Mus musculus: one gene and its partners. The protein of the gene in region 1 purifies or fractionates together with the protein of each later gene. This does not show direct contact. Links are inferred from orthologs where the notes say so. Each region holds a gene or a part of one and is shown in the gene's direction. Other genes may lie near its edges. The genes, in order: Abi1, Cyfip2, Eps8l1, C77080, Eps8 and Wasf1.

The links.
Region 2: the proteins of Abi1 (region 1) and Cyfip2 purify together in Homo sapiens (co-immunoprecipitation; 4 studies listed by BioGRID and IntAct, with this or other methods). This does not show direct contact. The link is inferred for Mus musculus from reciprocal best matches to the Homo sapiens genes ABI1 and CYFIP2.
Region 3: the proteins of Abi1 (region 1) and Eps8l1 purify together in Homo sapiens (co-immunoprecipitation; 4 studies listed by BioGRID and IntAct, with this or other methods). This does not show direct contact. The link is inferred for Mus musculus from reciprocal best matches to the Homo sapiens genes ABI1 and EPS8L1.
Region 4: the proteins of Abi1 (region 1) and C77080 purify together in Homo sapiens (affinity purification with mass spectrometry; 3 studies listed by BioGRID and IntAct, with this or other methods). This does not show direct contact. The link is inferred for Mus musculus from reciprocal best matches to the Homo sapiens genes ABI1 and NHSL3.
Region 5: the proteins of Abi1 (region 1) and Eps8 purify together in Homo sapiens (affinity purification with western blotting; 4 studies listed by BioGRID, with this or other methods). This does not show direct contact. The link is inferred for Mus musculus from reciprocal best matches to the Homo sapiens genes ABI1 and EPS8.
Region 6: the proteins of Abi1 (region 1) and Wasf1 purify together in Homo sapiens (affinity purification with mass spectrometry; 6 studies listed by BioGRID and IntAct, with this or other methods). This does not show direct contact. The link is inferred for Mus musculus from reciprocal best matches to the Homo sapiens genes ABI1 and WASF1.

What each region holds. Positions count from the first base shown.
Region 1 is NC_000068.7:22,952,824-22,957,654, reverse strand, and holds part of Abi1 (abl interactor 1), read left to right. Parts: intron 1-536; coding exon 537-637; intron 638-4,043; coding exon 4,044-4,220; intron 4,221-4,831. UniProt on the Homo sapiens protein: May act in negative regulation of cell growth and transformation by interacting with nonreceptor tyrosine kinases ABL1 and/or ABL2. May play a role in regulation of EGF-induced Erk pathway activation. Involved in cytoskeletal reorganization and EGFR signaling.
Region 2 is NC_000077.6:46,308,902-46,314,380, reverse strand, and holds the start of Cyfip2 (cytoplasmic FMR1-interacting protein 2), read left to right. Parts: upstream 1-2,022; 5' UTR 2,023-2,154; exon of another isoform or gene 2,155-2,446; intron 2,447-5,479. UniProt on the Homo sapiens protein: Involved in T-cell adhesion and p53/TP53-dependent induction of apoptosis. Does not bind RNA. As component of the WAVE1 complex, required for BDNF-NTRK2 endocytic trafficking and signaling from early endosomes.
Region 3 is NC_000073.6:4,466,393-4,471,223, forward strand, and holds part of Eps8l1 (epidermal growth factor receptor kinase substrate 8-like protein 1), read left to right. Parts: intron 1-852; exon of another isoform or gene 853-2,461; coding exon 2,462-2,502; exon of another isoform or gene 2,503-2,803; coding exon 2,804-2,862; exon of another isoform or gene 2,863-3,488; coding exon 3,489-3,650; exon of another isoform or gene 3,651-3,890; coding exon 3,891-4,040; exon of another isoform or gene 4,041-4,415; coding exon 4,416-4,498; intron 4,499-4,648; exon of another isoform or gene 4,649-4,831. UniProt on the Homo sapiens protein: Stimulates guanine exchange activity of SOS1. May play a role in membrane ruffling and remodeling of the actin cytoskeleton.
Region 4 is NC_000070.6:129,223,720-129,228,550, reverse strand, and holds part of C77080 (uncharacterized protein KIAA1522), read left to right. Parts: intron 1-639; exon of another isoform or gene 640-769; coding exon of another isoform or gene 770-824; intron 825-2,537; coding exon 2,538-2,708; intron 2,709-2,788; coding exon 2,789-2,844; intron 2,845-3,078; coding exon 3,079-3,199; intron 3,200-4,039; coding exon 4,040-4,153; intron 4,154-4,234; coding exon 4,235-4,831. UniProt on the Homo sapiens protein: Able to directly activate the TNF-NFkappaB signaling pathway.
Region 5 is NC_000072.6:137,522,932-137,527,762, reverse strand, and holds part of Eps8 (epidermal growth factor receptor kinase substrate 8), read left to right. Parts: intron 1-233; coding exon 234-395; intron 396-525; coding exon 526-675; intron 676-4,831. UniProt on the Homo sapiens protein: Signaling adapter that controls various cellular protrusions by regulating actin cytoskeleton dynamics and architecture. Depending on its association with other signal transducers, can regulate different processes.
Region 6 is NC_000076.6:40,931,853-40,936,683, forward strand, and holds part of Wasf1 (wiskott-Aldrich syndrome protein family member 1), read left to right. Parts: intron 1-63; coding exon 64-181; intron 182-1,260; coding exon 1,261-1,433; intron 1,434-2,624; coding exon 2,625-2,804; intron 2,805-4,257; coding exon 4,258-4,831.

The sequences.
Region 1 (4,831 bases):
GGACCACACCCTCTAATAGTGCCATTTCCTGGGCTGAACATATACAAACCATCACAGAGGGGAAACAAGAGCCTCATTATGTATGCCAGGTGGTTTCAGACTCAAGAACCTCTAGACTTAGCCAGTACTGAATGTGCAGTATGCCACCACAACAGGCTGTTTACTCTTAGTCACAGCAGGCTTGAAATAGACATTTGTAACTCACTGACTGTGAGATTTCACTGCTCAAGACTTAGACTATAATTACCATTTTAAGACAAGGTCCTATTATGCACCCCTGGCTGGTCTTGAACACCCAAAGATCCACCTGTATCTGCCTTCAGAGTGCTGGGAATTAAGGCCAGGTAGGGTTCAAAAACTGTGCTAGTTACTAGTTTTAAAGTTCTTGAAGAACAGTGTAACACAAGAACCATTTTAAATAATAGGCTAAAGGTTAACCAAGTTAAAGAGTATTTAGTAGCTCCAGTTTAGATTAAGTTTTTTTTTTTTTAAATCAGTGTATAAAAATGATTTTCCAATGCTTCTCTTCTTTGCAGTGGAAGTAGTGGAGGAAGCGGAAGCCGAGAGAACAGTGGGAGCAGCAGCATTGGCATTCCTATTGCTGTGCCTACGCCCTCACCGCCCACTGCGGGCCCAGGTACGGTAGTTAGTACCCTCAGCTTCACTGTGTTGTGTCTGTTCACTTTATTATGGAGGCTAAAACACTCTATGTATATTGAATGAAATTAGTTACTAGATTGTGGCTATTGCTATAATAAAGGCAGATATAAAAATATGATATTTTTAGATTAATTTTCACAAAATTGTTAGGGTTTTACAAGCTGTATGTGTGGTACAGAGAAGTCACTTTGTTAAGTCAGTTTTGGCCATTTTGTTTTAGTAAATGTTGCCTTTCTAATAGTTTGTGATGTTTATTATTTCAAAAGCAAACCATTTTGCATAATATTTCATTCAGAAGGTCAGTATTGCTAAACCAATGTATTTGTGCCTTCCTATTTATGTATGAGATTCAGCACCTGTTTTAGTGAAATCTGGTGAATATAAGATGATATTTAAAAATATGAAAATTTATTTTACCTTTTTAGAAAGTATGTAAATTTAAGGTATTCTGGGAGAACATTCAGTTAACCCTTTGAAATTGAGTCAGTGAAATGTAGACTTTTTTGAGGTAGGTTATTTCTGTGTAGCCCAAGCTATCCAGAAACAAAATGTGTATATTAAAAAAAATGTTTGAAAGGTAATCATAATAAAAAAATGAGAGGAAACTATCTTACCTTTTCAAAGTATTGTTCAAGAAAAATGATCCTGTTATAAACACAGGCTCATTTTGTGGGTACTGCATTTATAAACTCATTTGAACTTGTTTTATATACGGATGTTTGTTTTTTTTTCTTTGTCTTCAATATGCGGTATTTTCCTGCCATTTTGGAATTTTTGGTTCTGTTTTCTTACACTCCGATCTGAGTGATAAACTATTTTGCTAGAAAACATTGTGTCTGGCTTCCTGGAGTCATACTTCTCCCAGTGAGTGTTGCTGATGAGACTGTGTAGGCGTTGGGGAACCATTAGATAAATTTTACATATCTGCACTTAACTCTTGTAGCTGATAGATTACAAGTTGCTGCAGTTACTGGATTATAGATGGTACCACTAAAAGTTAAAGAATTAAATCTAATTATTTCTAATTTCTTCTGGTGAAGGACCTTTGAACTTAACACTATAAGAACACGGAGAAGACTCTTTATTAAATACAATGTGGTCCTATGTATGATTTACAACAAACTTAATGGGATTTTTATTTGTGATTTATTTAGATTGACAAAAACTGGCAGTTATTACATCCAGTCAAAGGACTGGGCTGAAGGTGGAGATAGGAAGTGGAACATGGAAAGGAAATAGAGTGTGACTGGGCTGCTGTGGTGCTATCTTTTGGATTATTCTTTGAAAATTTTTGCAGCAGCCCAGGTTTCAGATAGCTGAGAATGCTCTGAAGTAACTTTATCAATTGGATGCATTCAAATTGTCTTTAAGTTGGGAAGGACTAGACTGAATGCTAATACAAAGAATTCTAGATCCAGGCTGGGCAGTGTGTGGCATATACAGGAGGCAGAGGCAGGCAGTCTCTGTGAGTTCAAGACCAGTCTGGTTGATGTTACACAGAGAAATCCTGTCTCAACTCCCTCCCACACCCAAATTTACATTCAGTTTAGAAGTACACAGAACTTAAGATAAATAATGAGGTGTCTCTTATGAGAATTAATTTAGATGAAATTAAACTGAAAATATTTTTAGATTATTTTTTTTAATATTTATTTATTATATGTAAGTACACTGTAGCTATCTTCAGACACTCCAGAAGAAGGAGACAGATCTTGTTACAGATGGTTGTGAGCCACCATGTGGTTGCTGGGATTTGAACTCCAGACCTTCAGAAGAGCAGTCGGGTGCTCTTACCTGCTGAGCCATCTCACCAGCCCTAGATTATTTTTCAAAACATTTATGTATACTGAGGAAAAGGAGAGGGAAGGAGATAATACAAAATCCCATGGATATAGAAATCACTGAAAGAAAGTCTGTGAGCCTGGAAGATGATTGTTGAAGCCACAGTGGATAAGTAAAAATGCAGACAGACAGCTCACCTTGTTGGGGTGTGTGGAACTGGTGCTATACTGCTGGTGTTTGTTGATATGCTTGCTCCCTTTACCAAAACCCCTTTTGCTTACTAATCAAGGTAAACAGCATCTTTCAGTGTCAGTCTTAGGTACTAACATCAGAACATTATTTCTCAGAAAACTCTCTGTTAAGTTTGTGAGGTCAAAGCTATTACATGTCTTTTTCATCCTCATTCTGTCAGAATTTTTTTTTCTAGAGGCTCCGTGAAGTCTTTGTGTACTTGTATATAAATTCACCTTAAAGCTGTGTCAGTTTGAATATGGTCATTTCATGTAGGTGTAACCCACTCCAGGGACACCTAATTTTTAGTTTTTAAGAGTCGACTTAAAGAAAAAAATGTTTGCTAACTGCTTACTTAGAGCACTAACTTTCAGAGCAATAGTCCCAAATTGGTTATTAACGTAGAGGAATTAGGTAGAAATTTCAGTTTCAGAACTCATCCTAGATCTACTTTGTTAAAAATCTCCGAAAATGGAACCCATAAATTTCCATTACAACAAGCTCTCAAGGGGAGATTTTCATCAGTGCTGAAGCGTAGGGAAATTCAGGGACTATACTTAGCAGTGTTCATTCAGAAGGAGTGATAGTTCTTAGTGTTAGAATAGTACCTAAATACAACCTAAATAATTAATAACAGTAATTACTAACAGTTATAAAAATCAGAAAAATATACTTAGCAGTTTAAATTTTATTGTTTACTTTATTACTTATCCTGAGCTTTTTAGCCAGATAGAATTTTAAATCAAATTCCGAAACTTGGCTGTGAAGAGGAAGCTGTTTATAAAGCAGTCATGAATGACCCACAGCTAACAGCTAGTGCCTTACTCAGACTGTGTGTGGTACTCATTTTGTTGGAGCCAGTGTACATACAAAAGCTTTATACACTTGTCCTTCATCCCCTCAGGTGATTGATTCTTGTACACCCCACCTCCAATAGATACAAAATCCTTAGATAACTCAAGTTCCTTAATCAAATGGTGTAGTACTTGCAGACAACTTACACATATATTCCTTTTCATATATTTCAGATTATCCCTGGGTTACTTACCATACCAGAGTAGTTGTTCTCGCGCATTGTCTAGTGAACATTCTGAAATGCACATGTAAATTACATATAGCATTAGCAAAATAGCATTCAGGACTATGCTTATTGCAAAGGATTAGCAATGCTCAAATGGTCACTTTTGTAGCTCTTTGCACTAGCTGTCTTCTTGTTTATATACTTTAGAAGTGGAGATAATTTGATTTTCATCTTCTTTTTTTATTTTATGTCTGGGCATTCCAAAAAAAATAAGAACCCCCTCCCCTCTGTCCTGTCACTTGGGGTGTTTGTAATGCTTTCTTGGTTGCCTTTGACTAATGCTTTTCAGCAGCCCCTGGCGCAGCTCCTGGTTCCCAGTATGGCACAATGACCAGGCAGATTTCTCGACACAACTCTACCACTTCTTCGACATCTTCTGGTGGATATAGACGAACTCCTTCTGTGGCCGCCCAATTCTCTGCTCAGCCTCATGTTAATGGAGGTCCACTTTATTCTCAAAATTCAAGTAAGCTTGTGTTTGCAGGCATACAGCAATAGTGGAGCTCCTTTTTAAAGGAAATTATTTGAAACTGTTATTCTTGACTGTGATAGACAACAATTTAAGCCATGCTATTTCATGCTTGTTTTTGCTTTGAATGTTAATCCTTGAATAACCATCTTAAATATTACTGCTTATTTATTCTCCAGGGTTCACTCAAGTATACTTAATCTACCAAATTCAACAAATATTTTAATGTGCTATTATTAGTATTACTACAGTATAATTTGAACTAGAGAACAAAACAATCTTAAATTTTATCAGCATGATTTTGATGGTTCAGTAATGGTACGAAGACACAAACACAGCCAAAGAACTTTTTAAAGAATTTAATGAAAAGAAATTGCTGGCTATCACTTCTAAGGTTGTGACCTCTTTTGAAATGCTTTCAAATGAAAACATTTACAATGCCTGCTTACTTTCTCTTTCTGAATAATTCTAACAGGTGGGAGGGATTTTCTTTTGATTTCCCTTTGTTTACTTCAAAATACACATCTCAGTACTAATTACAGCCAGTGTTTAAAACCTTTTACAGAAAATAGAGTTAGAAAGGAAAGGCTTGAATATCTGAGGATAAT
Region 2 (5,479 bases), on another chromosome or scaffold:
CAACATGGAGAAATATGTCTCTGAGAAGATAAAAACGCCTCAAATAATCTGCCTTTCAGGATGAAAACCCAAGGAATGGGGATTCTCATTCGTAAGCGTCTGCAGTCACTGTGGACTGAAATCCTGAGGATCCTGGTTGAAAAAAAATGAATTTTAAAGTAAGACGAAACCTGAATTCTGTTTTTAAAGCCATCCCCCACAAACACCCCCACAGCTTTCTCACATGGCATCAGAAGGGGGGGAAAATGTATGTGTGTCGCTATATATGTAAGTCATCGCTTCTGAAATAGCAGTTTAAATTAGACAAGTGATGTAACATCAAACCACATGGGAGCGTGGTTTCTGAGCCCCGGGGGAAGCATGTGAGATGCAGCTAAGTCTTCTCAAGTCCTTGCCTGAGATTTGCATACAGTGGCTCCTCTATCAGTAGCCATTTACAGGGAACAACTGTGCAAGTCTAAGTTTGTGGCGTCTGGCAAGCATTGGAGAAGGTTCTCATGACCCAAGATTTTATTCCTTGTTGCTCTATACATAAATCAGGCTCTCAAGTACTTTCCAATTAGTTCCCCTAAGAGGGCAGGCTGGAGAGATGGCTCAGCAGTTGGGAGCCGTGGCTACTCCTCTTGAGGACCTGAGTTCAATTCCCAGTACCTACATGGCATCTCACAATTATCTGTATCTCCAGTTCCAGATTATTCTTGGCACCAGGCATGCATGCGGTACACATATATGTGCATGCAATCAAAATACCCATACACACAGAATAAAATAAATACTTTATATACATACACACACACACACACACATATATATATATATATATATATATATATATATATATATATATATATATATATATATATATGGTACCCAGAGCAACTATTATTCCCTTTATTGCAGGTACTGCATCTCCCACTCAGAGCAGTACCATGCTGGGGTGGGTTCAGGTCAGGACTGAATGCAGCTGGCCTCATCCCTACCTAAAGCCCTCCGAGTTATGTCTCAAGGAGCAATGGATTCTTTGAAGAGCCCTAAGCAGCATCTAAGAGGCTTCTGTCTCCTCAGCTCCTTCCTAGGTTTGCCTAAAAGTCAGCTTATCATGATTTTGTCCACGAGTCAATTCTACCTCAATGGGATCGACATGGGCACGCGCGCGCGCACACACACACACACACACACACACACACACACACACACACGCACACACACACATAATAGCTGTACATTTTTACACTAAGAAATGGAAAGGAAGTAGATGTTTCTCTTTGTTTTTAAATTATTACATTTATTTATTGTGTGTGTGTATGGGTGTGTGTATGTGTCTGTGTGTCTGTGTAATGTGCATATATGCATGTGGGTGGAGGTCAGAACACAATATACAGAAGCTGTCTCTCTCCTTCTACCTTGTGGATCCTGGGAATCGAACTCAGGTCATCATCAAGCTTGGCTGCAAGCGCTTTCTCCCGCTGAGCCTGTGCCCTCTGAGCCCGTGCCCTCTGAGCCCGTGCCCTCTGGGAAGTTATTCTTCAAGTGGTGGAAGGGCTCAACCTCTCACTTAGCCTGCTCCCTTCTTTGGGAAAGCAGCTGTCATTGGACTCCTGTTAGGTCAGTTAATGCTGGCAAATAATAAGCTCCAAGCGAGCAGGGGCTCTACTGCACACTAGTGCGTGCCTGGCTCTTGGCAAGATGCTTGGAACAAAACAGGTAGTCGATAAAGATGTGGTGAATAAATGACTATATGAAAATAATTTGACACCGGGGAGATGCGAAAGGAGCTGACGCTTCCTTCCTTCTGGAGTGGCAGGTGTCGCTGGTGATGCAGGCGGCAGCAGGAAAGTCGTCCCTCCTCCACCTCCAGAGTCCGGAGGCTGGATACTCTAAGGCTGGAAGGTATGGGTTCAGGAGGTTGCAGGTCAGGGGTGCGCAGGGAGCCCCTCGCCGCAGCCATTTCCGGCTCTTTGTGTGACAGCAGCCGCGGCGAAGGGGCTGGGCACCGCGGCCAGGGGAGGAGCCGCGGCAGGCGGAGAGGCGGGGCCGCGGGCGGGGCGCGGCGGTCCGCCGGCGCAGCGGCGGAGCGGGGCTAAGCATCCTGCGCCCCGGCGCGGGGCCCTGCGGTAGCCTCGGGTCCCTCCCCTGGACCTGCCACCGAGCCAGGTAAGGGACTCTCGGAGACAACAGGGCTGATGCAGGAACCGAAATGCTGCCTAGGCGGTGGATGCGTTCCTGAGGATGCGCGAGGGGCGGGCGCCACTTCTCCCAGCCCGTTGGGGGCGCTTGGCTTGGCGCCCGAGGCTACACGGCTTCAGGTCCCTGGAGGCCGGGCTACAGGCCTGTGTTGTCCCTTCTCCCCTCGGCCGCCCCGGGCGCCCTGGGCAGGGAGCGTTTTCCAGAAGTCGTGGGTACAGCGCAGAGCTCCGCGCAGCAGCCTCAGCGGCAGCCACAGCAGGTGCGTGGCCTGGGCCGGAGCCACCCGCCCTAAAAAGAGGCAGGGATAGTCTCGGGGACCAGGGATACCTGCAGGGGCCACAAGCCCAGAGGGGGCTACATCCCTGCACCTACATACTGCAGATCGCCGGGCAGTCCCCGCCTCTGCGGTCGCGGCCACCATCATTCAGCCAAGGCCAGAGAGAGCTGCCTGGGCCCGCCTGACAGGCAAGGGGGTACTGGGCGCCCGCGGTGAACCGAAGCCGGGTGGGGCCGGGGCCACAGCGGCACGGTTTGGGAGAGGAAAGCTCTGATGAGCCGGGAGGCATGGCTGACCTGCTTCGAAGCGTTCTGGCCTATACTAGCGCCTCTCCCCTGGATGGCTTTGGGGAGGAGAAAGGTGGGGTGATGGAATCCTAGGGGTCAAGGTTTCCTTCGTATTTAGCTGCCCACCTGTCTGTTGTGGGAGATTGCCACATCACCTTCAGGAAGGTAAGCCCTCCTGTGTGTACAGGAAGAGGAGTAGCTTGTGGCTAAGGGTGGGGGCAGGGAGCATGGTTGAACCGACTGTTGGTTTTCTCCCGCGACTATCTGGGTGTTTTCCAGTCCAGACTTAGAACTTGGCTAGCCCAATTCTTTAGTGCCCACAGCCCCACAGTTGGGCAGGAAGACTTAGGGATCAGACTGACGACTGACTGTTGCTCCTAAGCAACCATTTCTACCTCTTGACCCCTTCCCTTAGAAGTGACCAGCCTTATTCTTGGGCACAGGCCCTGCAAGAACCATTGCCTAGCACTCAGTGACACCCCCCCCTCCCGCCATTGTCGGAGGACAAAAATATAGATTAATATCTATAGTCGGGATTGTAAGTCCTTGAAGGTAGTTGTCCCTACCACCATCCCCCCTTCTGTGGCTTTCCCCCCCTCCACCCGATGCTCCTTGGGTCCCTTCTCTCCTGTCAAACTTGCTTGAGAAAGGAGCCAGTGAGTGGTATTTATCTTGAAGAGCTAAATACAAAAGGTTTTCCCATTGGATGTAGAGCAGGCGCTTCTTAAGTCATGGGATCAGAAAGGAAGCCGAGGATAGGAGACATTTTAATAGGAAGCAGAGCTGAAGTCAAAATATTTGCTATCTCTAATGGTTGACTTTCCGATGTAAGCTAGATGTGGCACTGATACTGTGGTCAGAATGGCCTATGTGGCAGCTGCCAGCTTCGTTTTCTGTCAGGGCTGCTTTGGCCTGGTGGGCAGGAGTACTGTAGGAGTGTGTGTGTGTGTGTGTGTGTGTGTGTGTGTATGAGAGAGAGAGAGAGAGAGAGAGAGAGAGAGAGAGAGAGAGAGGCAGAGAGAGGCAGAGAGAGAGAGGCAGAGAGAGAGAGGGGTCAGGGGTTACTGTCAGCAGAAGGCTTTTGTTGATCACCAGTCTCTCCTTGCCCGTGGGGTGTGAAATGTGCCCATGGAGAGTTCCTTACTGGAGCTAGCTGCCATCTGCCCTGACAGTTACGAAGCCACAGACAGCACGCTGCTGCTTACAAAGCCAGTGCCCCTGGGTACTTCTGCTTGCTGAGCCCCAGGCCGGTGGCATTAGCTCACTAATCTTCTTTATTGTAGTTCCTGGCCAGTTCTGACTGGTTGTATAGGAACCCAAGACTGCCTTGTTCCCTAATGTGGTGGAAAATGGAAAGAAAAAGCGTGAGTTAGGCATTAGGCCAGAAGTGGGGGGTGGGGTGGGGCACAGGTTTGGAGACTCTTGCTCAGATCAGATCACATGGAGAAGTAATTTAACAGCTAGCCAAGGGCCCCGGTAACAGAAGTGCACCCTTCGATTATCGTGCCCCCTCAGTGGTCACTGGGCCTCTGAGGCTGCCATTGACCTGAAAGCTAAATTAGGTGATGAATAGGCAACAGGCTAATTAGCATTGGGAACAGTATTGCTGGAAAACAGTATAGGGCTCCTGTCCTCACATCTCAGCCCCGGCCTCCATGCTCAAAGAGGCTTCTTTGGACCACTGTTAGCCCCAGGGTTCCACCAAGAGCTTCACAAAATGCTCTTTCTGTAGCCTCCATGTGGCCACCATAACAATGAGTCTATTTCTTTACTGGCAAGTATTAATTATTCACTTATAGTTGACGAAACCAGATGTCAGTCACCTCATTGGAGCCTTTGTGAAAGGCCTTTGGTCTTGTCAATTTGAGAAGCAAAGCTATATCTAGGGTCCGGCGAATGGCCTTGGCGATTGTAGCTGGAGGTGGTTGGTGGATGGGGAAGGCAGCAGTTTGTGCCTTGCAGACTGTGAATCCTGTGACTCGGAGGCCAGCTGTGGTGGGGGAGGGGCCAGTGCATCTTTGGATGTTCTTATTAAATGAAAGATGCACGAAAGCTCTGAATAGAGTGTGTGGCACACAATCGGTCTCCTATTTATACCCCTATTGCTGCGATGCAGTATTTACACGATCGCCGAGAATTTGGTTCATGTGCATAGTCAATTCACGGTCCTCTCGGACCTCTTCACTCCCGGGACTTACCTGAATCGTGCTTTTTCAAGGGGACTTGGTCTGCTGGATCAGTTGAGGTACGTGCCAGAGACATTAGAAAGGCATGTGATCAGACAAGGTGTTGGCCAGGGCTTCACCTGGCAACTGCTGAAAGTGAACGTGGTTGAACTTGAGTTGGCAGGAGGACCGGGTGGGGGCAGGAGAGCAGCGGTAATTCTCACGTTTCAGCACACAGAGCCGGAGAAGAATGTCTTCCTCTGTGTATTCAGCATTCTGCAACCAATTCAAAAATGTCAAGGGCAAGCTTGGGATGGACAGGGCAGCACAGTGAGGCTAGGACTGGGATTCCTCCTAGGCTTCCTGAGAGCCTTTAACTTGGCCACTGCCTTTTCCGACTTCAACAATTGAGCAATGGAAAGCGGTCCATTAAGCCTGTCACCTATCTGTTGCCACCAAAGCCCTGGGATGAGATAATGTCTGTGAAGCCCCAGGTGGAGAAGAAGTCATGGAAAGAGGAAGAGAACGGGACTCCCGAGCATGCCTCTTTTGGATGCATGCCT
Region 3 (4,831 bases), on another chromosome or scaffold:
CAAAATTGTAAATTTCAGAGGAGCCTGAGGACAGGAAGAGACAGGGAATGACTTGCCTGGGAAGGTCTGAACCGTGGTGGGAGGGGAAGAAGATAATTCCATGCCTGCTCCAGCTGCTGAAAGCTGGTGTATCAATCACCATTTATTGAGCAACCACTATGTGCTAAGCCCTGTGCATCACCACAATCAGAATAATAATTATTGCCAGGACTGAAAAATACTTCACAAGAGCTTTATACAGCAGCTGCAGCAGGTAGATGCTATACCATGTTACAGGAAGGGGAACTGAGGTTACCATGTTACAGGAAGGGGAACTGAGGTCGGAGAGATTGGGTCCCTTCACCAGGGTCTTATAGTGTTGTTATTGGGTTTTTTTGTAGATTTATTTTAGTTTTTAATAATTTGTGTGTGTCTGTCTGTATGTCTGTGGGTCTGTCTGTCTGTGGGTCTGTCTGTCTGTGGGTCTGTGTATGTAAGTGCAGTGCCTAAAGTCAGAAGAAAGCATTGGCTCTCCTGGAGTTGCAGTTACAGGCAGCTGTGAGCTGCCTGATGTGGGTGTTGGGAGCTGATCTTGGGTCTGGAAGAGCAGCACTTGCCTATGACTGCTCAACCAGCCCTCCAACCCTGGGGTCTATTGTTTGCATTTTGTGTTTGTTTGTTTGTTTGTTTGTTTTATTTGTGTCCCAGTCAGGGTTTCTTGGTCATGATGTTTGTGCAGGAATAAAAACACCGACTAAGACAATTTGTTTGCTGCTTTTATGTATCTCTGTTGTGTTTTGTTGTGTTTACGGGGCCTTGCTCTTGTTTTGTTATTGGGTTTGGGTTTAAGTTTTGTTTTTTTTTTTGTTTTTTGTTTTTTGTTTTTTTGTGTCTAGGTCTCACTATGTAGCCCTGACTGTCATCAAACTTAAATCATCCTTTCTCTGTCTCCTGAGTTCTGGGATTGTGAGTGTGCATCAATCACAATAGGCTCTGCCCTTCACCTTTACATTAGTCAGGGTTCTCTAAAGGAACAGAACTGATAGAATCACACACACACACTTATACATATACATGAACACACAAACACACATACACATGAATCCACATACACACACACACACACACACACACACACACACGATTTATTAGAGTGGCTTATATGCTGTGGTTTGGGTCATCCGACAGTGGCTGTCTCATAGCAGAAAAGCCAAGAGTCCAATCGTTATTCAATTTACCAGAGTGGAGGCGTGAGCAGTGTAGTTCCCTAGAAATTCCTAGAGAGCTGCTGGTCTTTGGCCTACATTAGAGTCCTAAATATATATATATATTCTAACACCAGCAAAGAAAGACCTCAGCAGGAGGATCGATAAACAGCGAGATTGAGAGCAAGCAGGCAAAAAATAGATGTGTCCTTCTCCCATGTCCTTTTATGTCTCCAACAACTTGGATTTTAGTTGATTTCCAATGTAATCAAGTTGACAACCAAGATTAGCCACCAATCTTTTTTAATTGTATCTTTTTCTCTATCTCTCTGTCTCTGTCTCTCTGATGTGTGTGTAAGGGTGGAGGGAGGGATGTCTGTATAAGCTACAAGAGGTCATTGGTCCCCTGGGGCTGGAATTACAGATGGTTGTAAGCAGCCTGGCCTGGTTCCCTGGAACTGACTAGGATCCTCTAGAAAGGCAACGAATTCTCTAACAACTGAGCCAAGTCTCCAGCCCCCATCAGCTTTGTGAATTTTAACCTAGAACCAGATATGATGGTACATGCCTGCGTTCCCAGCACAGTGGCAGTCGAGGCAGTAAGGACAGGAGTTCAGGACCATCCTAAGCTACATAGTGATTTCAAGACTCTATCTCAAAATTGCAAAAGCATTTTTACTAAAAGAGAGCGCAGGGAGGGGCTGGGCATAGTGGTACATGCTCTTAATTCTAGCAGCTGGTAGGCAGAGGCAGGAGGATATCTATGAGTTTGAGGCCTGGTCTACTGTAGTGAATTTCAGAACAGCTAGAGCTTCACAGCTGGTTGTGAGCAGCCTGGCCTGGTTACCCAGAACTGAACAAGGGTCCTCCATCTCAGGGTGAGAGGGGGAGAGAGAGAGGGAGAGGCAGGCAGACAGACAGACAGAAATAGAATATTTGAATCCAGGTTTGTGCGATGTAGCGGTCACACACACACATTATCACATCATATGTCTTGATTTTTTGAGACAGGGTTGCTCTATGTAACAGTCCTGGCTATCCTGGAACTCTCTTTGTACACCAGGCCTCGAACTCACACCTCTGCCTCCTGACTGCTGGAATTAAAGGCATGCACCACTACACCCAGCTTATACCATACCATCTTCTTTAACTCTGGTGTGTCCTGCTCTCACCTGCTCAGACCTTGCACGGCTCTCCATTACCCTCCCTGATGCATGCCTGCAGGGTCTATCCCCAGCCCCACCATCCTCCTAACCCCTTATTTTCTTCTTCACCAGGCCTGAAGCTGCACCCAAACCAAGTGCAAAGTCTATCTATGGTAAGCTTGAGGGTTAAGGCGACCAAGAACAAGGCTCTTGGGAGAAGAGAGAATACAGTCTGTCGTTTTGAGAGGAGGAGGAGGGGACAGAATCTGGGCTCTTGGATCTGAGAGAGAAGAGCTGGGGTCAGGGATCCTAGGTCTGAGGGAGGATGGCTGCAGTCTGGACTCCTGGGTCTGAGGGAGGAGAGCTGGAGTCTAGACTCCTCCTTCTGAGGGAGAAGGGCTAGCTAGCATCAGGGTCTAAGGAACCAGGCTGCAGTCTGACTCTTGCATGCACTTCCCCCTCTCCCCTCCTTAGAACAGAGAAAACGTTACTCCACCGTGGTTATGGCTGACGTGTCCCAGTATCATGTCAATGTGAGTCTGGGGTCTATGTTTCTCTAAGACGTTTCCTGGGGAGAGGTGAGCCTGAAGTGATAGGCCTTTTGAAAACAGGGACTGGGGACGGGGGCAGCCATCAGGATGTAAAGTGAATAAATAAGAAAGAGAGAGAGGGAGGCAGGAGGAAGGGAGGGAAAAAGAAGGAAAGAAAGAAGGAAGAGACTAGGAAAACTCAGCTCTTCTCTCCCCATGAACATCCGTCCCTGTTGCCTGAGAACTCAGTTCTGTCTGATCTTCCTCTGAGCCATCCCCAGTGCAGGATGCAGGACCAAATCGGCCACGGTTCCATGGTCCAGGAGAGGGTGTGGATGTCATAATGCAAAGCAGAGGAGGCACTTACAAGAGTTCAATCCTTATTATTTGTTGCCCTTGAGAAGCCTCCAATCTTGGTTTGAAGATGTCCTAATTGGAAGGAAATCTAATCAGTGCTGGCCACTGAAGGAGCTGAAGGGTCTGAGGGAGGGAGACTGAGGTCTGGATTCAAAGGGTCTGAGGAAAGCATTCTGGGGAAGTATGGCTAGGCTGAACAGGAGCTCCCTCTAGAAGCTCAGCAACAGCTTGGCATAGCCTGGGACTCAGCTACCTACTCTGTCTCCTGCCAGCACCTGGTCACCTTCTGCTTGGGGGAAGAAGATGGCGTGCACACTGTGGAAGATGCTTCCAGAAAGCTGGCAGTCATGGACAGCCAGGGGCGTGTCTGGGCACAGGAGATGCTACTGAGAGTGTCACCTAGTCAAGTCACTCTGCTTGATCCAGTCTCCAAGGTGCCAGAGAGCAATTGGGTGGAAGAGAGAAATGGGGCTGAGATCTGAGGGTGAATCTTGGCTCCGAAGCGTCCTTCCCCTGGGAACTTTGGCAAGCTATCCTTTGAAGCCTAGGTTATTAAACAGGGTGTTATTTCTAGGCCCCTGAACTCTTTCGGTTGCCTTGCCCCAAGTCCTGGACACTGCTCTAGCAGTCATAGGAATCTGTGCCTCCGTTTACCCTGCGACCCCGTCCTGCAGGAAGAACTAGAGTCATATCCTCTCGATGCCATCGTACGCTGCGACGCGGTGATGCCCCGAGGACGGAGCCGTTCATTGCTGCTCCTGGTGTGCCAGGAGCCAGAGCGTGCACAGCCGGATGTTCATTTCTTCCAGGGCCTGCTCCTCGGAGTGAGTGGGCGTGGCTCCGGGTGGCTTTTTTTTCTAGTAGAGAATCAGAGGCGGGGCTTCCATGTTTGGGGCGGGGCCTTGGCAAACGGGGACATAGCCTAGGAAAGCAGGTCTGAGAGGGAACCAGAATTGAGGACAGGTTGAATGAACTCTAGACCATGACTGAATGTGACGATGGGAAGAAGATGCAGAACAAAGGCTTTGAGAAAAACATAAAAAAGATGGTTGGAAGCAGGCAGGCAGGCAGGCAGAACCAAGATGGGGTCCATGGGGTTTGTCCAAGACAGTCGGAGGCAAAGCGCTGAGAACAAGAAAGAGTCCTGGGCAGGCAATGGGTGGGGCGTAAGAGGGGAGATCTTAAAGTATGATTGACAGGCGGAGCTGATCCGTGAGGACATCCAAGGGGCTCTGCAGAACTACCGCTCCGGACGTGGAGAACGCAGGGCAGCAGCGCTCAGGTGAGGAGAAGGGGGAAGCAGATGCAGAGCGCACTGAAAAAAAAAATTCTCCCATCTATGGACCTCACTCTCCTCAGCTAAGAAATGAGCTTGGTACGAACAGCCTAGAGTGTTGAATGTGGTCACAAATTAGCCTTGGCCAGGTCTTACCTGTACCTCCCAGACAAGGTGACCGCTCCGCTCCAGTCTTCTACTTTAGCCTGTCTTGGTCTTTGGTTTCTCCATCTTCGTATCCAGTTTCTCATTATGAAATGCCCAGCCTTCGTTTGACCGCCCCCCCCCCTTCCTGATCCCATCGGTTGCCCCAGCCTCGGTCTCCCCTTTTTCTTAACT
Region 4 (4,831 bases), on another chromosome or scaffold:
TGGCTTCTGGGAAGCGTTCTGGGCTGAAAGAACAGGTCTGTGTTGAATCCCCCTGCCTCTGCTGTTTCTCAGCCTTTCCGATGTCACATTGCTGAGGTGGGAAGAAAGTTCTTTAGAAAGTGTGGGACTGAAGTCTGTGAATGGGGTGACTGTTGTCATCGGCCACTTTGATTCTCTAGGTATCCCACCTGCCAGCCTCAGTTATGTGCCCTGTTCTGAGGCCTGCTCTGTCCCTGTCATCCTCACAGGCAGCCCTGGGTTCCTGCCTGCTTGTTCCGTGAGCTGAACTCTTTCCTCGGGAAATTACCTTAATTAGCCGTGACGGCTGGGTGTTGGGCATGGGCATCGTGCCAGGTCTGGTCTGGTGGCTCTTCCAGCCACCATCTGGCAGCTGGGACCCTTTCGTTAGCTCCGGCACCCAAATGTTTGGGCAAGAACTTGGGAGCAGAGTCAGAGACCCACAGCTAGCTAGCATTGTGTCTTCTCTTTGGTACCTCCAGTCACACTCAGCAGCAAAGCGCCCAGTCTCTGGGCCTCAGTTTCCCTGTATTCTGCTTGGGGGTGGGGTAGGGGTGGGGTTAGCGGATGGGCGGGCTCTATGGCAAAGGTGGGAGGAGAACCTGGAGCAGCCCCTCCCCCTCCTGCCCGAACTCTGCCAGGCAGCTGACTGCCAGCTTGCTTTGCATCCGAGTCCCTTTGGGGCTGCGCTGTATCGAAGGTGTTGTCTGATGTTCTGGGGAGGTTAAGGTGGTGACCATCTGCTGCAGACATGGTAGTGTTCCTGGGGCGACATCTCCCAGCGCTTCTTGAGGTCTTTAAGAAGGGTGAGTGGGTGTGGCTGTGGGGGTAGCCAAGGGTGACAGCCCCCTTTGCCAGACCCTTAGGTTGGTGGGGGTCAAGGCTAGGAAGAGCGATGAGGTGGGGGAGCTGGTTCCCAGGCTGGCTGCAGTCTGAGTCGGCAGCCGCGCTTTTGTCCGGCGGCTTTGTCCCTGCTTTTGTTTGAGTGCCGCTTGTTATCCTGGAGGGTGGACCTAGGTGTCTCTGACCTTGGAGTCTGTTGTCCTAGGGTCAGATTGCCTTACTGCTGGGATACCAACTCATTACTGGGTATAGCTCAGTTTAGAGAGAGGACACCCCTCTCCGGAGTCATCTCCTCGGTGGGAGGATCTGCAGGAGCGGGGAAAGCGTGCCCTGGGGACCTCGCTTGGAGAGGGCAGTTTTGAAGGTAGAGACCAGGTGCACGCCTTTGCCCAGGAGCCTGGCTTTTAGACTTAGGTTCTAACTGTGGGAGCTTTCGTTTCTTGTGCTCTTGGAGGGCAGGGGTCCCTTCTGGGAATGCAGAGTTTAGCCCTGGCTGTCTGAGCCATTTGCTGTGACTGTAGTAGGAAAACATTTTCCACTTGAGCTTGTTTCTCCACTTGTAAAATCGTGGGATGGAGTGGGAAACACCCAAGATCTCCGGGGGCACCTCTTAGCTCTCTCTGCCTTGGTGGGATTCCTGTGGCTTCTTGGGGGCCGGTCCTCTGGTTCTGAGGAATACTGAAGAAAAGAGATGGCAGGTGTCTGAGTTGGAGACCTAGTTCCTGGGGTGGGGCCCTTTAAAGGGCTTATTTTGTTCCTGCTTCTCTACAGGGGACTGCCAAGGTCACATGACCTTCCCAGCGCTTTTGCTTATGTTGTGGGATTCATTTAAAGAGGGGCTGGGACTGCAAAGTGCTGACACAGCCCCCATCCTCAGGATTAGATGACCAGCCCCTCTGTGGGCAGAGCCTGTAACAGGATCCTCTGTAATGGAGCTCTGGCTCCTCTGTACCTGGAACCAGGCCAGGGCCTCCAGGAGAGGCCATACCTGGCCTGTTCCCTCAGGAGAGGCTAAGTTCCCAGCGGGAGTTGAGGGGCCTGATCCCTCTTCTCCCCGTCCCTGTGGATCCTTCTAGAGAGTAGCCATATGAGTAAGTAGGTGTCCCTGGCCTATTCCTCCCTTAGGGCTTTCTGGAAATCTGACTGTGACTGACAGCTCTGGGTTTTCATGGCATCTTCTTGGACTCGGGCCAAGGGGCTATTTAAAGAGGGTGGTTTGTTTTCCTTTAAAGTGAAGCATCAGGTCTCGAGACAAGAAATGGATTTGCCATGGGGATGTCTGTGTGGAACCCTGAGTGACCTGTGGGTGCAGTTTTAAGTGTGCTTTGGGGTGTCTGCAGCACGGTGTCAGGTGGATCTGTGGAAGCTGGTGGAGCCACGTTTGCCGGTTTATGCTTGGGTATTGTTTGTGTGTATACACTGCTGAAGCCTGTAAATGCCTCATGGATGTAAAGGGCCTGTGTGTTGACCTTGTGTGGTCCTATTATGTGATGTGATGACTCAGATATATGTGCCCTCCGGTGTAGTTCGTGTGTGTACATGGGATAAGAATGTGTCTAGGCGGTATGGCAGAGGTAGACATCAAAGGGATGTGCTCTGTATGCCTGTGTGGCTGTGCTTGTGAGTCTCCAGCGCCCACATGCCTTCGGGCCTCACTTCCTTCTCCGTCCCATCAGGCTCTGCTAAGGCCGAGAGTGACAACCGTCAGGGCGCAGGGCCCAGCCAGGGGCCAGGATCTGTAGGAGATGAACTTCAGGACAACGTTTTCTTCCCCAGTGGGAGACCTCCTCATCTGGAAGAGCTGCACACACAGGCCCAGGAGGGGCTCCGCTCCCTCCAGCACCAAGGTAAGTCCTGCCCTGTTAGAGTGCTGTTCCCAGCTCCTGGGTCAGGGGCTTGGCCAACAGACCCTTCTGGTGTCTTCCAGAAAGACAGAAGCTGAGCAAGGGCGGCTGGGACCATGGAGACACCCAGAGCATCCAGGTGAGCCCTGTCCCAGCTCCGCCCTGCTCTTCCCTTCTGACTTAGCCTCTGGCATGCATGGCTTTGGGCCTTTCTGGACTAGTTTCTTCTGTATGTTGAAGAGGTAGATGAAATGACTTCTGACAGCTAGTCCAGGCTTGCTCCATCTGGTACCTGCACAGTGCTGGCTGATGCTGGGGGAATCCAGCGGGAGCCCAGAGTAGCTCATCCAAGCTGCTCTTATCCCCCCAACAGTCCTCCCAGACGGGGCCGGATGAAGATACCATCTCCATCTACAGCCAGAAGTCATACATGACGGAGAGCTCCACCGCGGAGGATGCGCTCTCCGTCCGCTCGGAGATGATTCAGCGCAGAGGTGTGTTGTCATCTGCTGGGCTTTCTAGGTAGCAGGGAGAGGTGACAGGCACCATCACATCGCTTTATGTCCTGGTATCTGTGGCTTCCCCTTTTCCTCCTAATCCCAGGCTATGTGATTCAGTGAATTTACCAGACAGTACCCTTTATCTTCTTGGAGGTTCATGGTGGACACTGACCCAAAGCAAGATCGTGAAGGGTTTGGGAACCCTGACTTGTGGTAACTTAGCTGCAGCGTGACCAGGAGTCTAAACCCTTTACTTCTTCAAGTGTCTACTGATGTTCTATAGAAGCTAAAGTGATTGACTTTCAGTATAGCTTAGCTGGTATCATGCTTGCTTTCGCAAGCAGGAAAGCCTGTGTCCAGTCCCTTGCACTGTATGCAACAGTGCGGTGGTACACACCTGGAATCCTAGCGCTTGGGAAATAGAGGTAGGAAGATCAGAAATTCAAAGTCTTCCTCAGCTCCATAGTGGGTTAGAGGCTGACCTGGATTGTATGATATCCCTATTTCAAAACAAAAGCCAAAGGATTGGCTAGGGACAGCCTCAGAGGGCCTAGGGAAGGCATGTCTAACCCCTTGCTCCAAGAAAGTCAGGAGATTACAAATATTTACATCATTGGAATGAGTATCAACCGTTTAACATGGTGATACAATTTGCTCACTAAGTAGTAAGAATCGCTTGCTTAATGGAAAGGTCATTGTTGAATCAGTGAGGGGATTTTTCAGGAGTCTTAAAGAAAGCACGCACGAGTACTTTATTAGTACTGAGCCATGTCTCTAGAGTGCTCAGAGGCCTTCTGCTCTAACGGGTTTTCCCCCTCTGGACTGACTCCTTAGGCTCCACCTTCAGACCCCATGACTCATTTCCCAAATCTGGGAAGTCAGGAAGGCGACGGAGGGAGCGAAGGAGCACGGTGCTGGGGCTGCCTCAGCACGTGCAGAAGGAGCTCGGTGAGCCTTGGTCGGTGAGCAGTGGTGGTGGATGCCCGGGAGCCTGGCCAAGCCCCTCCGCTGACCCCATGTCTGTTTCAGGCCTGCGGAACAACCGTGAGGCACCGGGCACTCCACAGCCTCCTGGTTCACGGGACGCTGTCCGCATCCCCACGGTGGATGGTCGCCCCGGTCTGGCCTTAGGGACAGGGGTCCGAGTGTCCCTGCAGGCTCTGGAAGCAGAAACAGAGGCCGGCACAGATGCAGAGGCTGTCATCCAGCGCCACATCGACCGTGTTTACCACGATGACACGCTTGTTGGCCGATCCACGGGAGCCCGGCCACCGCCACTGACGAGGCCAATGTCTCTCGCAGTGCCTGGACTGACAGGAGGAGCAGGATCTCCAGAGCCACTGAGCCCAGCCATGTCAATCTCACCCCAGGCCACCTACTTGTCGAAGCTGATCCCGCACGCCGTGCTGCCGCCCACCGTGGATGTGGTGGCCCTGGGCCGCAGCAGCCTGCGCACTCTGAGCCGTTGCAGCCTGCTCTCTGCCAGCCCAGCTTCGGTTCGCTCCCTGGGCCGCTTCTCCTCGGCTTCCAGTCCACGGCCCCGCAGCCGCAACGCTTCCTCGTCCAGTGACAACTGGAGCCACTCTCAGTCCTCCGAGACCATTGTGTCTGATGGTTCCACTCTTT
Region 5 (4,831 bases), on another chromosome or scaffold:
TACAAATCAAGGCATTGTTTTCTGTGTTCAACAAAAAAAGGCCACTCAACTCCACCCTGTCAGTGGAGTAACTGAGGTTGTTGTTGTGTGTTGTGTCAAGCCTTTGGTTCTTCTAACTGACTTCTGTTATGCAAATTCTTCCTCCTTTTGAAAAATACCTATGGAGAGGGTTTTATTTGTGTGTTCAAAGTTTTTCTTTTCCGCCCTTTTTTTTTTTTTTTGAACATCATAAGCACTTGACCACCTTCGTGCTGGATCGGAAAGATGCAATGATCACTGTCGAGGACGGAATAAGAAAGCTGAAGTTGCTGGATGCCAAGGGCAAAGTGTGGACTCAAGATATGATTCTCCAAGTGGATGACCGAGCTGTGAGCCTGATTGACTTAGAGTCAAAGGCAAGTCGGGGAGGTTTATGCCACTTTAGTCTTAAGAGTTCACCACCGATACCAACGTGTGCAGTCAGGACAGAGTCTTGGGACACAAGTGATGGTTTGACACTGTCAAATATTTACTCATTTTATACAGAATGAATTGGAGAATTTTCCTCTAAACACAATCTCGCATTGTCAAGCAGTGGTACATGCATGCAGCTATGACTCCATTCTCGCCTTGGTATGCAAAGAGCCAACGCAGAGCAAGCCAGACCTTCACCTTTTCCAGTGTGATGAGGTTAAGGTAAGAGTGCCTCAGCCTCCCATTAATTCTAGTGGGGTGTGTGTGTGTGTGTGTGTGTGTGTGTGTGTGTGTGTGTGTGTACACGAATGCCCAATGAGGTCAGAAGAAGGTGAGCTGGGATTATAAATTCGAGAAGCCTGATGTGGGTGCTTGGTGCCAAATTCCCATCCTTTGTAAGAACAGCAAGTGTTCCCAACTACTAGGCAAATCTCAGGTCCCTGTTCCTCGCTCAACCCTCTAGAGCAATATTCTGCAACTTTCAATCTTGATTATAAAGCTATCAGTTGCTAGAGTTTAACATTTTGAGAATGTGATGAAGAAAATCAGTACCGAAGTGTCTTCTATAAATTTCCAATCAGGTAAACAAAAGAGGAAATTTTATTATTATTTTTTTAACTCAAGGTGTAGTAAGATGGGTCCTACTTGTACCACTCAGGAGGGTGAGGCAGGAGGATTGCTGCAAGGCAGAAGCCTGTTCAAAAGTATCAAACAAACATAGACACGTGTTGTTTATCTTGTTTGCAAAGTGTACCGGTGTATGAAATTCTCATCAGGGGCTCTGTGTATATAATTTAAAAATAGATCATTAAAAATCATGCATTATGCTTGCTTCTGTGGCACATATACTAAATAGACAGACAGTAAGTATGCTACAATTCTCTTTTCTTCCTTGTTAACCTCGAAGCTTGTATCGATTGTTTCAGTGAGATCCTTGCAATGCCCCATGGTATTGATAGGAAGATTGCCATTTAATTATGGGACTTGGAAAGTTACTCAGGGTTTGTGATCCCTAAGTGCCATGAGAAATAGCTGGGCAGAGTTAGCAAGAATAATAAACTTGAGACCCCAAAATCTATGTTTCACAGTCCACGTAATTTATCAATGATGATAATTTATTGAACCTTAGAATTTATCTCCAACATTAGATAGCTTTATTTTCTGAGCTGGTGTCTCTAAAAGAGAAACTTCCTTTGGTTCATTGGCGCCTGTCTTAGTTTCTTTCCTGTGGCTGTTATAGAACACTGACCAAAATCCACTTAGGAGAGGAAAGGGTTTATTTGAGTTGATAAATCCAGAGGGACAGGAGTCTGTCCTGGTGGGTAGTCATGGCAACACACAGCAGGCATGGTAGCAGGAGCGTGGAGCAGAGAGAGCCAACTGAAAGTGGCCATAGACTTTTAATCTCAAAGCTCTTCCCCAGTGAGCACCTCTGGTGGGGGGGGGGGGAACGGGACCCAGTGTTCAAACACTGGGAATGGAGGGACAGTTCTCACTCTGGCCACCTTTTTCTCCTCCTAGAGCACTGAGTTACTTGTGACTTTTATCTTGTAAAGACATTTTAGACCAGCACAAGAAACCCACTTGATCTCATCAGCGTTTCTTTGACATTAAACCATGGCAGATGCAGATTATCATTAACAATATAGTTTGTAATCTTTCCTAATTTCAATGTATCCCACAGATGATTATAATAAAAGTCTTACTTGAAAGAACTGTGCTACTTAAGTAACTTATAGCTTGAAATTCATCAGCTTTTTACAGACTATAACTTTTCGAATTCCTTAATTATTTTAATGATTTTTGAGGATTTTGATATGTTAAAGCAAAAAAATGGTGAAGTGAATATTTCGCTCTGAAAAAAAGTAAAATCTTATTAATGGATTTTGCTTCTTTAATTTTTGTACTTATTTATTGAAGAGGGATATCATGTACGGAGGTCAGAGGGCAACTTGTAGGAATTGGTTATCACCTTCTACCATGGGAATTCCAGGGATCGAACTCAGGTCCTGAGGCTTAGCAGCAAGTGTCCTCAACCACGGAGGCGTCTTGTTGGCCCAGTTCAGAGACTTACAAACCAATGAAAAATACTGAGTCAAAAGGCATTTAAATTTTGTGTTTGTATCCCTGCTTTTAAGTCTGACTTAAATGTGAGTTACTGTCCTGAGTAAAGGTTCCAGACGTCAGCCTCTGCGTTATGGAATGAAGGGCTTTCCTTCTCTAGGGGACCGTGACCATGATGCCTCCACATGAATTTCCTGGACAATGCTCTGTACTCACCATAGCTCAGACCACTAAAAATGAGGAAAGCCACTCACCCTGGCCAGTGCCACATTTCTTTTCATGAGGTGTGCATTCCTTGCTAATTTAAAAATGCAAGTGCCTTGATACTGTGATTTGTAACTAGTCTGTGTGCAGAACATCTTGCGATAACAGTTTTTGAGTGTAACTTTTTATCATGGGATGCTACATGGTGCGTTTGCCTCCTTTAGCGATGGCAACATTTTTCATAGAAGTTCAAGGTTCTAGACACCTCCAGTTTTAATCTTCTATATAATAGAGGACTTTGGCCTTAGTTGACCATCTGGAATGTGTTGGGCTAGACTGTTCTAAGGATGCACTGTACTGGGGTCCATTGCAGTGTTACCTCACCCTGAACATGATGCAGGCCAGGCTACTTCTCCTAGTTCCCCTCAGAGAATTAACTAGAAAGGAGACTAAACAAGGGCTGGGGAGACTGTTCGGTGGATGAACTGCAGTTGAAATCCCCAGAACCTATGTCAAGCCAGCTGTGATGGTACGTATCTATCATCCTCACACAGCTCCAGAGAGATGGAATGCAGAGACAGGAGAATTTCTCAGAGCTCCAGACCAGCTGGACCAGCTTATGTAGGGGTAATCAGCAAAGGGCCTTGCCTCCGGCAAGGTGAAAGGTGGAAAACATCACCTGAGGTTGTCCTCTGACTTCCTTTTATGTAATCAGTGTTCATATATGGGCGGTCACATGTGTGCTTGTGTGTGTCCGTGTGCACGTGTGCACTTTCTCTCACACTCCATGATCTTGAGGTCTCCCATCAGTTTTTATACTCACCAGTGCTGACTGTTAAAGAATACGTGACTCATATATCTGAGAAAAATGTATATAATTACACAGAGCACACAAGCCCAAAAATAGGAGATAAATACATGAGCAACATCCTCATATACAGTGATAATTACAGGCTACAGATAAATTTCATAACAAAGAAAAATTGACACCTTATCTACAAAACTCACTTGAATTCCCAAGAAAATCTAATCGTTGGTCTTGTTGGGAACATAATGGGAAAATTTGTGGTGGCAGATAGTTCATTTTTACCTGAAATGGAATAATAAAGTGATTATCAAAACGGATACAATATAGAATTGAGACTCAGCCTGTGAATGTACTGCTGAGTGAGTTTTCCATCCCGGTGGCAAACCATCGAGCTGAGCAACTTGCAAAGAGAGAAGGTCTGTTTTCCTAGTGGCTTCGGAGGCTTCAGTTCCATGGTTATTTGGGACATTGCCTTTGGGCCTGCAGTGGGAAAGTCCATGGTAGTAGGAAGAGTGTGGTAGAATTGCTGTTTGCTTCTTGGGAAGCAGGAAGTGATAAGAGACAGGCAGGAAGTATCTGGCAATCCTAGTGTCATGTAAGAGCAAAGCGCAATGTCTTCCTTCCACGACCTCCCTTTTGAAGGCTGGAACCCGGCCTTCACCATGCATCCATTCAGGGATACTGCAGACACTAACCTAGCAGAAGGTGTGCCTTAAGGTCTGGTGCCTCTGTAGGGCCGGGTGATTGCTTGGTGAGTTAATAGGTTCCCCCTGTGGAAAGGGAAAGGGGGAAGGGTCCCCCAGCCCTGCACATCATCTCTTATATCCTTCCTCTGTGACAGCCGAGACACTCACCTGTGTCCTCTCTGCAGTTGCCTTTCTCTGCTGGGCTCTTGGGGAGGAATGTTTAAGTGGAATCTGGACGTAGATTAACCTTAAAAATCAACATTTGTACCGGGCAGTGGTGGCACACACTTAACCCCAGCACTTGGGAGGCAGAGGCAGGCAGATTTCTGAGTTTGAGGCCAGCCTGGTCTACGGAGTGAGTTCCAGGATAGCCAGAGCTACACAGAGAAACCCTGTCTCAACAAAAGAGAAAAGAAAAAGAAATCAGCATGTGAGTTCCATCATTATAAAATACACCATTGAAAACTAGAGTCATATTTTTACGGTAGATGCTAAAAAGTCTTTCTATTTATATCACACCAAGATACTTACTGATGCAAACAGTGAATATAAATTATATTTTCTTTCTGTCTTAACCTTTATATCAAAGCTCAGACAAGCCTATGGCCTTCTGGAT
Region 6 (4,831 bases), on another chromosome or scaffold:
TAAGCATTGGTCTGCTTGTTTCTCTGTCTCACCTAATACACTGTTGGGCGTGCTGTTTTCCAGGGATGATGGTAAGGAAGGGCTGAAGTTTTATACCAATCCTTCATATTTCTTTGATCTGTGGAAAGAAAAGATGTTGCAAGATACAGAGGACAAGAGGAAGGAAAAGAGAAAGCAGAAGGTATTGTAGAAGTTACTTTTTCTGTATTCCCGTGTTGTCGCTCCCTGGAAACGCTGTTAATCTGCACTTTGGCAGCCCTGCTTTGTTGGGTCCGTGCATTAAAGTCCTTATAATTACACAGATCACTAGAGAGTGTCTTGCAGATGTGAGTAAAGTTGATAAATGAAGCCACTGTGTTTCTGCCACACCACGTGGCCTAGCTGTCTTCAGCAGGCTACTGTCTTCTCTTTCCTTTTGCTGGCCTCTTGCGCTTTACTTCCCACTTTGATAAGATTTTCCCGAATCTGCTTGATTTCATATTTTAAATCTGATGATTGTACAAGCATGTGGAAGGAGGACGAGACAAGTCTTATTTTGACACAGTCTGTCTTCACCATGTCTGTCTATCTCCGCCTTCCTCAGTCCCCATAATACCCTCTTGTTGCATGGGAATGTGCTGGACAGTGCCCTTGTGTTCTAGCTGGGGTTTGCAGACTGGTGACTGGCAGGCCAGAGTGCCCCTAAACACAGGTTTTGGTTGCTAAGCACAAGGGATTTAAAATTGTGCTTGAGGTAGAACTCCTGTCAACTTCATAGCATGCCCCATCTTAGACCTGACAGGCTTTTTGTTCATGTGTCACCTGCTTTGTCCCTACCTTCTCCGGGCCTTTCTACACTGTCTCCCCTGATTTTAGTCTCTGGCCATTTCCCATACAGATGTTTTCTTGTCTTAGTTGTTTGACTGGGGGTTGACAGTTCCATCCTTGGTAAAGCATTGATACGTAGTAAAAGTAGGTCTAGGAGTGAGGATCAGCGACCTTTTCCATCCAGAGGACTTTCCGCTTTAAACCTAGGCACACACTTTTTGTATCTGAACTCTCAGTGTGAAATTGAGTTGCTAAACCATGGTGAGAAACTGGGACCACAGTGACCTCTGATCAATTTTAACTCTGACTGTACAGTAAAATGGGTCTCTGTTTTGCTATATTATCATGGCATTGCCGTTTTCAGTAGTGACCTTAGAGTTTTATTTTGTCGTAACTTCCTTCTAAGGATTTAGCATTTCACCACTTGGCGTTGTTTCATTATGTCTGTTATAGCAGAAAAATCTAGACCGTCCTCATGAACCAGAGAAAGTGCCAAGAGCACCTCATGACAGGCGGCGGGAATGGCAGAAGCTGGCCCAAGGTCCAGAGCTGGCTGAGGATGACGCTGACCTCCTACACAAGCATATTGAAGTTGCCAATGGCCCAGCCTCTCATTATGAGACAAGGTTTCATTTTTTTCTTTGTTTGTTTGTTTTTCTAGTGAATGATAAACATTGGATCTACCTGTAATACCTATACTTCTGTACTAGCAAGTCTCGGCTTCTGGACTGTTGAGTTCTAAATTTTGAACTTCTAAATTCTAACTCCCTTGGGCAGGTCATTTTCATATTTGGACTTTTTGTTGTCATTTGTAGGAAAAAAAAAAAGGTTCACAGTGTATACTTTTCTGGTTTGTTTTAGCTTTTATGTAAAGGCTTAACTACCCCCTAGTATTTCAGGTAAAGTGTGTTAGAATGCTGTAGTACAGTGTGTCTGAAGTACTTCTGAGGTGTTGATTTTCACTGCATATGCGGCAGGGGTTAAGAAGAGGTTTGATTTTGTTCTTTCTCTGTCCTCTGACTTCCTTTCTTTTCCACGTCCCTAAATTCAGGTGTGTCAGGGATTTCAGACAGAATTCCTTACTTTCTTTTACAGACAAGTGGGCTAGATCTGGGTCCTTTCTCAGTGGCCAGGAGCCCTATCTAAGTAACAGACTACCATAACAGACATACTTCCAAGCTTCTGTGAAAAAGCTATGTGTATTTTTATCATACTGATTTTATTGGAAAATAGCTTAAAATTTTCTTTTGAAAACATATGAAGTCTTGAGGCATAATTGAAATATTGGGGCCTATTTTAAGAGAGTACGTATCTAAGAGGTACCATCTAGCTACTTTACTTAAAGAAACTGAAAGAATGGAAATTGGAAAAAAAAAAAGCTCTTGTAGGCATTTGTGCTTAGGTGAGGTCTGGCCTGTTGACAGTGTGAGTTGAGAACCTTGTGACACGCACTGTGCACGTCTGTTTAAAAAAGCTCTGCTCCCAGCGTGTGCTGCGGTCAGTAAACCCAGATTCTCACGTGCTCACCTAAAATCTTGGTTTATGTAAATTTCATGTTGCTGTGTCTCAGCTGTATTCTGAGTTTTCTTGCCTCTCTCTGACTCTAGGAGCAAGTTTTCTTGCTCTTACTCCAAGACTTTTGAAAGCCATTAGTTTAAGAAAACACAATGTCCACGTGGTAGTAAGTTCCATTTTTATACTTTCCTCATCGGTCATTGGTTAAAACAATTCACACAGAAATTCACGACTGCGTTCAAGAGACTGACTGTCAGTGCAGCGATTCTAACAGATGCACTAATGCTGTGTATTTCTTGAAGGCCACAGACATACGTGGATCATATGGACGGATCGTACTCACTCTCTGCCTTGCCATTCAGTCAGATGAGTGAACTTCTGACCAGAGCTGAGGAGAGGGTCTTAGTCAGACCCCATGAACCTCCTCCGCCTCCACCAATGCATGGAGCAGGAGATGCAAAGCCCACACCCACCTGTATCAGGTATGTGGGACAGCCTCATAATGCTTTGTCTTGGGGATCAGGGACCTCTTCTTTGAAGGATCAGTCATAAACATCTTAGGCTTTCTGGAAATACTTTCTATCCCAAGTATACCATCTCTGTGTGGAAGCAGCCAAAGATTGCCCATAAATGTCTTTTTAAAATAAAGCCTGGGTTACAAAACCAGGAGGCACCTTTAGACATTAAAGGTATTTGTTTTCCTCCGATTAGAGCTGGCATTTTCTCCTGGGGTCATTTAGCTAATTGCTTTAAGGATTAGTGTTTTCATGTATATAATTATAGCTTTGTTAACATGTATAGTTTATTAAGAAAAAATGAATTTTTTCAATCTAGCAAAGTTCTAAATAAGGAGGTCAAAGATGTTAGTCTAAGATGATATACTAAGGAAATATATCAGCAACTTCAAGACGATAGAATGTTGCTTGTAGCAGCATTTCTGTAAGGTTACTTTAAAGTTTTATGTGATCCAACTTAGAAATTGTTAACATAGGCATATTAAAGAGGTTTTCTTTCTTTCTTTTTTTTTAATTAGGTATTTTCTTCATTTACATTTCCAATGCTATCCCAAAAGTCCCCCATACCCTCCCCCCAACTCCCCTACCCCCCCCCCCCCCCACTCCCACTTCTTGGCCCTGGCATTCCCCTGTACTGAGGCATATAAAGTTTGCAAGACCGATGGGCCAACGAATACAGACCAGCTTTACCATTTTTAGTTTAAAATAGGATATAAACCACAGAAGCCTCCTATGTATCTCTTGCTTATTTGGTATAGCAACCTTAGGAAGAAAGTGGCATAAATGTCTTTGTGTGGTTTTTAATGAGCTGCCATCGGCTTCGCTGAAAAGACATATGATGAATCTTAACAGCTTCAGTACAAAAACACCATCATCATATTAGCCAAATTCTGCTGTAAGTGTGACTAGACACTGCAGTGTGGTGGTGGGGTGCGGGGGGAGGCACTGCAGCCACCCCTGTCACAGCATAGAACTGAACACTGTTTACTGAAGGAAGCACGAAACTCCTGAGGAGGCGTGAGAGTTTCATACAAAGTTAGATTATTATAAACCAAAGCATCACCTATTAATTTGCTTTTGTTGTTGTTTTTTGGTTTTTGGTTTTTCGAGACAGGGTTTCTCTGTATAGCTCTGGCTGTCCTGGTACTCATTTTGTAGACCAGGCTGGCCTCGAACTCAGAAATCCGCCTGCCTCTGCCTCTCGAGTGCTGGGATTAAAGGTGTGTGCCACCACGCCCAGCCATTAATTTGTTTGTACACTTTTAGTCCTTATTCTTTGGAATAATGTTAAATAATTTAAAGCTTCTACAGGAACATGTTAGTGGGTTTATTTTGATGTAGCTACCGCTAGTCGTTTATAGTTTCTACAGTCGTGTTCTTTTTCTGATTAATAACGTCTTGGATGTCTTTGTCTTTTCAGTTCTGCTACAGGTTTGATAGAGAATCGCCCCCAGTCCCCAGCTGCAGGCAGAACACCTGTGTTTGTGAGCCCCACTCCCCCACCTCCTCCCCCACCTCTTCCGTCTGCCTTGTCCACTTCTTCACTAAGAGCTTCAATGACCTCAACTCCTCCCCCACCAGTCCCTCCTCCGCCTCCTCCCCCAGCCACTGCTTTGCAGGCCCCAGCAGTGCCCCCACCTCCGGCTCCTCTTCAGATTGCCCCTGGTGTTCTTCACCCAGCTCCTCCTCCAATTGCTCCTCCTCTAGTGCAGCCCTCTCCCCCAGTAGCTCGAGCTGCCCCAGTATGCGAGACTGTGCCAGTTCACCCACTCCCGCAAGGTGAAGTGCAGGGGCTGCCTCCACCCCCACCACCGCCTCCTCTACCTCCGCCTGGCATCCGGCCATCATCTCCTGTCGCAGTTGCAGCTCTTGCTCATCCTCCCTCTGGGCTCCATCCAGCACCATCTACTGCCCCGGGTCCCCATGCTCCATTAATGCCTCCATCTCCTCCATCACAAGTTCTACCTGCCTCTGAGCCAAAGCGCCATCCATCC